Linked DNA regions of Canis lupus familiaris. The protein of the gene in region 2 interacts with the protein of the main gene of each other region in a pairwise test. Links are inferred from orthologs where the notes say so. Each region holds a gene or a part of one and is shown on either strand. Other genes may lie near its edges. The genes, in order: MBD1 and CHAF1A.

The links.
Region 1: the proteins of CHAF1A (region 2) and MBD1 interact in binary tests that used the Homo sapiens proteins (3 or more experiments, as listed by UniProt). The link is inferred for Canis lupus familiaris from reciprocal best matches to the Homo sapiens genes CHAF1A and MBD1.

The regions. Positions count from the first base shown.
Region 1 is NC_049228.1:78,701,134-78,704,510, reverse strand, and holds the end of MBD1 (methyl-CpG-binding domain protein 1), read right to left. Parts: coding exon of another isoform or gene 3,358-3,377; exon of another isoform or gene 3,326-3,357; intron 1,677-3,325; coding exon 1,487-1,676; 3' UTR 680-1,486; downstream 1-679. UniProt on the Homo sapiens protein: Transcriptional repressor that binds CpG islands in promoters where the DNA is methylated at position 5 of cytosine within CpG dinucleotides. Binding is abolished by the presence of 7-mG that is produced by DNA damage by methylmethanesulfonate (MMS).
Region 2 is NC_049241.1:55,668,707-55,672,525, forward strand, and holds part of CHAF1A (chromatin assembly factor 1 subunit A), read right to left. Parts: intron 3,117-3,819; coding exon 2,251-3,116; intron 1-2,250. UniProt on the Homo sapiens protein: Acts as a component of the histone chaperone complex chromatin assembly factor 1 (CAF-1), which assembles histone octamers onto DNA during replication and repair.

The DNA.
Region 1 (3,377 bases), on a different chromosome or scaffold from region 2:
CCACCAGGTGGTCTGGGTGGAACTACCCCTCACACCACACCCTTGGGAAGGAAGGGAGGCAATGCAAAGGCCCTCGGTCAGGCGCGGGGTATGGGAAAAGCAGCAGAGATACAGAAAAGCCCGTCGGGCACCCCAGAGGTCGTACAGCCCGGAGGATACCGTTGAAAGGATTCCTGCAACAGGGGAAGCTGACCCTTGGCGACACTTTGCTGACTTGAACGTCCCAGCGTCGGTCCTGAGCTCGTCCTGTCGCACCCTCACCCCTGGCGCGCCCCATAATTTAACTCCGGTTCGGTTTTGCCTGTTTTACCTCTACGTGGAGAAGAGTCGGCTTTCCTCCCAGCCCCGCCAAAGATTGGTGTCTCGGTCGGGTGGAGGCCACGCCCCGGGGCCGCCCTGGCCAGGGTTGAGGGGCTGCGCGACTCCCGAGCCGGGGTGGGATGACGGTGGCCCCGGCGCCCCCTGGCGGGCCTACTCGGAGGGTGGAGGGGCGGAGCCGGGACCAAGGGCCAGCACCGTGAACCTCCGCCCTCAGCCAAGCCCCAAGGCCTAGACCAGGGATTGGCCCAAAGTCCTTGGACAGAACCCGACCTTGACTGGCCACCCACCATCCCGCTTTCTCAGCGTCAACATGGTTACCACCATCAAGACACTCCCCCCAAAAACACTAAATATATGAAACAGTAAACGGGACAGTAAAAATTATTTTAAAATAATTTTAAAATAGAACAGCTCAGAGATAGAAACTATTTATATTATTTCCAATTCCTATTGTGCCCCAACAAGGTTCACGCAAGGGCTGTCCTCCAACAGTTTCCTGAATTCTATATTTTCACCATTAAATTCCATGATAAAGTTGGATATCCATTCACCACTTGTAATACATACTGATGTATTTAATAAAATTGCATGGACTATTCTTTTTCATTCCTGTATCCCAGTATCAAGTACAGTGCCTACCATAGGCCAGGTTCTCAATACTTGAATGAATGACACAAAAATAGCCGAGACCAGCCAGTTTTTTCTGGGTGGGCTTGACAGTATCTCTGTACTTGCTGGGGTCACCATGAAATCCATGGTCTTCAGCTTTGCATTTTCAGCAACGTAGCTTTATCAAGTTATCCTCAGGTGAGCAGTGAGACCCTTGGGAGCTGATTCATGGCAGGGTGGCTTTGTAATGTGTCACCTTGACTAGGCTACATTTCCCAGAACTCCCTTCCCAGTATGCTTCCGGTTAGGATGGGCCACAAGAGACATTTTGCATGGTAATTGGAGGACAGAAGTGAAGCAGCAGCATACTGTTTTTACACTCGGAAGGTTGGTGCAGGCGCACCAGGCACTGTTGCAGTTCACACATGTTGTCACTTATCTGCTGGCTCACCTCGTTGGGTGTGGGCAGCAGTGAGGCCTGCAGCCAGGCCTGCAGCTGCTCCACTTTCCCTGGGATCTTCCTCCAGCTTCTCTAATTCCTGGACCAGATGAGTATTTAACTCTGTGATGAAGGGCACCAGCTTCTTCTGCAGGACACCCACATCATCGAAGTTGGAGGTGGTGAGACACTGACATGGGTTCTAGGCCATCCTCGCTGGTTCCAGCTCGTTCTCGTGCACGCCAAAGTGTCCTCCGTCTCCCACACTTTATATCCATCTTCCCTTCCTGATTGCCTGCCCTGCAGACTTCAAGCTCCAGCATTAGATGTAAAGACAACAGCCTTACAGAGACTGTTTAATCAGCTCCCACTACTGCATAAGCTCAAATCCCTGTAATTCCCTTAAAATATACATATATATACATATACATATATACATATATATATAATCTTTATATCAGTGGTGCTGTTTTTCCCGATTGTACTGTGATACACACTGTAACCAGGCTCTTAGAGGAGTCTGAATGCCAATCAAATAAATTTCATTTAGGACATCATAGAATACTAGTGTTGGATGGCTGGGTTCTGAGGAGAGCAAAAACAATGATCAGAAAATTACCCAGTCTCGACTCTGGCTCAAAAACGTAAGACAAAGGAAGGGGCAGAAGAGGGTAGCAAAAAGGGTTAACGGTGAGGAAATGTCTAGTCTACATCTGAATTCTCTAAAGCTACAAGGCTGGGACTAGAGTAGGGCAGGGGAGATACAAAGGCTACAAAATCTAAGCAGCATGCACTCAGTCATAGTCCTGTAAAGCTGACTATATAATGAACCCCAGGTCTAGACTTTTTGGCACTTTATAAAGAACTGGGAAGTGAGGCAGGGCTGAGTCAAGATGCCCTTATGCAGGACTCCTAGTAGAAGAGGGACTGAGGGCAGAAACCAAATGCAAAAGTCATCAAGGGGTAGGGAAGGCAAGTTGTCAGCAAAGATGAGCCAGGCTGGCAGCTTTACTTCCGAAGACTGCTTTGGCTGAGAATGAGGGCAACAAGCAAAATGGACAGTGAACCCTGGGGAAGGACATCCTTTAGTGTTTTGAGAACTCTTATGCAACATCCAAGGCCTCACAAGAACCCACCAGTCTCTTGAATGCATGGGTGCTGTGACAAAGTGACCCCAACCACACAGCCTTGGCATACCCTAAAACCATGCTAAAGGCAGCAATGTAAGAGATTTGTTCTGTTTAGTGACCCACCTTGCATTCAAGGTCACTGGAAACTTCTGTGACTATAATATTACACATTATCGTATTTGGATTACAGCTTAGTTTGGTGGCTTAAAGAACAAAGTTGTAAAACTTGGGTTTTATTGTCTAGGCTTACTGATACTAGCTGTCTGACACTGGATAAATTATTTAATTTCTTTGAGTGTTTTCCCATATGCAAAAATGGGCAAAAATCATGGTCTTACTAAAAAGATTTGAGTTTTAAATAAATTAGATCAGTAGAAGGAACTAACCAAATAGCAGTTCCTTTCGATTTATTCACATTACATTTTCCAGTGCTGTCTCTCTGAGGAAATGGAAATGTTCAAAAACACTGCCAGGTCTCATTCAGAAGCCACTGAAAAATTATTTACGAAGATGGCTTGTACAGGCTCTTTTCTGGTGACTTTTACATCCCCTCTTCACTCCACAGATCCCCCACCTGTAATATCCACACTTATCACAGTCAAGCTCCTGGGATTTGCACCAGTTGGAGCAGATGCAACAACTTTCTATTCTTTCTCTTCCTTTCCTGCTTACTTTCCTCTATTAGCTCGTAGTACTGAATAGGCCAGCTTCTCTGGTTTGGTGTAGGTTTTTCAAGTTCCTATTGAATCCTACATAAGACCCCTTGGTCTACAGTCCAGCCTGAGTAGATCAGTGTTCTCTCATAAAGCCAGTCTATAAATACCACCTTGAATCCTAAAGTCTGCAGAAGCCTCCAGTCTACTGCTTTCTAGCTCCAG
Region 2 (3,819 bases):
GTGATCCTAGAGTCCTGGAATCAAGTCACACGTCAGGCTCCCTTCATGGAGCCTGCCCCCCTCTCTCTGTCTCTCCTGAATAAATAAATAAAGTCTTTAAAAAAAAAATTGTTTCATAACAATGGCTATGTCACTTCCCAATTCTGAGGATTCTTGGGCTTGGCTCTGAGCATAAAAACAAACTTAAAAAATGAAGTGCTTGGGGCAGCCCGGGTGGCTCAGCGGTTGAGCATCTGCCTCGATCCTGGAGACCTAGGATCGAGTCCCACATCGGGCTCCCTGCACGGAGCCTGCTTCTCCCTCTGCCTGTGTCTCTGCCTCTCTCTCTCTGTCTCTCATGAATAAATAAGTAAAATCTTAAGAAAGAAAAAAAAAAAAAAAGAAGTGCTTAACGGACACCTCAGTGGCTCAGCAGTTGAGCATATGCCTTGGGCTCAGGGCGTGATCCCAGAATCCCAGGATCTGTCCTGCATAGGGCTCCCCCCACCCTGCCCCTCGCAGGGAGCCTGCTTCTCCCTCTGCCTATGTCTCTGCCTCTCTCTTGTGTCTCTAATGAATAAATAAAATATTTTTTTAAAAAGTGCTTAAGGGCAGCCCCGGTGGCGCAGCGGTTTAGCGCCGCCTGCAGCCCTGGGCGTGATCCTGGAGACCCAGGATCAAGTCCCACGTCAGGCTCTCTGCCTGGAGCCTGCTTCTCCCTCTGCCTGTGTCTCTGCCTCTCTTTCTCTCCCTGTATCTCTATGAATAAATAAATAAATAAAATCTTTATAAAAAAAATAAAAAATAAAAAATAAAATAAAAAAGTGCTTAAGAAGAATGAAACACATGTACACATGTCCCGTTTTCTAGGCTAACTGGCTTTAAATATGTCATACGACAGAGGCTTTCGGCAAAAGAGAAACAGCAAGGCAGCCCGGGTAGCTCAGTGGTTTAGCGCCGCCTTCAGTCCAGGGCGTGATCCCAGAGACCCAGGATGGAGTCTCACGTCGGGCTCCCTGCATGGAGCCTGCTTCTCCCTCTGCCTGTGTCTCTGCCTCTCTCTCTCTCTATGTGTGCCTCTATGAATAAATAAATAATCTTAAAAAAAAAACCAAACAAACAGCAGTCGGGAAGAATTTCAAGCAATTGGCCAGACCAAGAAAGATAGCTGGCGGCAAAAATGGATTCTTCAACTCTGATTCTAAGAGTCTGAATAATGGCTCAGGTGGAAGTTTAAAAATGTATCTCCAAGAAAAAAAGATTGCTCCACCCTTGACACTTCGAAAACTTAGATAAAAGCCATAGAATCATCTAGAAAAATTAGTCCCTTAGAGATCAAATCTCAGAAAGTAAAATCAAGCAGATAAAGTACAGATTGAATGATCCAACACAGAATCTGATCTTACATTTAAAAAAACCCCAAAACCAAAAAACCTAGGGTTACCTGGCTGGCTCAGTGAGTGGAGCATACAACTTTTGATCTTCGGGTCGAGTTTAAGCCCCACATTGGGCATGGAGCCTAACAAAAATGCAATGTACACAAAAATTCTACAAAAAAACCCCCAGAAAAACAAAAACCAAAATACCCAAAACAAAGAACACTGTTAATTAAACACATTTCTGGATTCTTGGCTAAATTTATGTTTTACCCATAAGACCCTGCTGCCATTGTGCTAATCACAAATCAGTAATAGAAACAGGCATTTCATAAGTCATCCTTCTGTGATCCTTAAAAATGGTGCCAGGTTTTCCTTTTATTCTTGTTGCTCTGGGGTGAAGTTTTTCAGATATGTGGCTAGGCTGACAAGAACCGAGCCTACAGAATCCCCATTTTATTTCTCCTGCTGTCTTGGGGTCTCTTCACCAATGCTGCCTGACTCTTTACCATCAACACCCTTACAAGCCTGTGTTGGAATGGCAAGGAAAACTGGAGGGAGCTAACATTTGACATGAGGGGTCACAGCTGCCTGCTTACAAAGCGTTCCTAATTAAAAGTGCTAAGTTGACTAGCACCACTCATTAGGTGTGAACAACCATGGCTACCTAGATGACAGTTCACAGAAGACACTTTACACACTGGTGATTAACAGGGCCACAGGTACATCACAATGCACATTTAACCGAACACCACTAGTGGTTTTTTGATACCAAAAGAATTGTTTGTGGCCTGCTTAGCCACCAAACACCTGAGTGACACAGTATTCCCAGGTGAAGAGCAAGAGGCTGAATCCCGTCAGCACTGCCACACTGGCATTCAGCAGAGATACTTACTCTGCGGATAGGTGTGGAGGAGGGGAAGGGCCTGGGACTGCTGTGCTGCTTTTTGGAAGCAGACTGCCCCTCAGGTGAGCTGGTAGGAGAGGAAGAACCCCGGGATGAGTGGCTAAGAACAGAGTCTTCTTCAGGGCCAGACTCCAGCATCTCACTCTCAGAGGGCATGCCCTGGTGTGCAGGTGTCGTTGGAGACTTGGCTTGAGAAGGTTTCGCAGCCAGGATATCCTGCAAGACCACCACAGGCACCTTCCCTTTGAAAAAAATGCCCCCAGCTTCACTCCAACCATCCTGGTCCTTCTCGGAGCATGTTCTTGGACTAGCCGTCAGCACACGGCAGCTTGGGGGTGAGCCTTTCTGCCCATCTCCACTCCTCTCTGTGCCCCTTGAGCCAGCACCCTCGTTCTCTGTTTTGCACGGAGTGTCTGAAAGGGTCTCTTCAGGACACGTCAGCTCATCCTCCATACTGGCCTCCAGCAGCCCCCTGTCACCTCCAGCTTCTTCTCTGACTCTGCTTACAGCCTCCTCGGAGGCAGAGGCTGCAGAATTTAGTTTACTGTGGGCCACAACATCATCCAGTTGGTCATTTGAGTCCTCCGTCAAATCAATGATGACCATGGTCTGGTCAATACTGGTTTTGACTCTGCTTCTTAAAAAGTTATCTAAGGGACCCTTCCCATTGACAAGTTTTGGACTACCATCTATGTCAGAACCCGAATGACAGTTGTTCTCCAAGGTATCCAAAGAGGTCTCCACATCAGGTACTTGACTTTGTGCAGGAGTGCCCTCAGAGCTCCTCATGTCATCCGACCCGTCCTCGCTTTTCTCCTTTGGGACAAGATTCAGGCGCTTGAAGGGCAGACGAGCTGAAACATAGAGAGGAAGCCATCTTTACAGGGAAAGTGTGAAGAGCAACAGCCCATCAATAATTGAATATTCCAAATGCTCAACAAGTGTCAACCTGCTGGGATGGAGGTTGGGCCAGCAGATGGGGATTTCTGTAAACCACTCATGCCCTTGGGTTCCAGTTTGCCCCTGCCCCTCAGAGACTGTTGCTCTTCCTGTGACTCCCCTCAACACCAAACTTGCTATCAGTCATCATAGGAGGAGGAAAGCTGCTACAGGGGAACGAGATACCAAGTTTTAAAAACCAGAAGCCTCAGTTTTTTATATAGTCACTTAGCTAATCTAGCCTAAGAGTAAAAATACCAACCACTCTTCACACAAAAGAAGTTGAACACATTTATCTTCCTGTACAATGGTGGTTCAACCAAGGGCAGCTGTCCCTGCCAGGGATGTCTGGCGATATTATTGGTCATCATGATTTAGGTGAGTGACCAGGGATGCTGCTAAACCCTAAAATATATGGGACAGCCCCATATCCTGACAAAAAATTACAGAATGTCAATAATGCTGAAGTAGAGAAACCCTAGTAAAGGCAATAACCACTAGATGTGCTCCTGGGAACCTAAGAAAACAAGAACATAATCACATGGGTTCCCAAGGTTCTGATTGGAAGATGCAACCATTAATCTCCCCCCCAGCCCTTGAGGCTTCTGCTGAGGACCC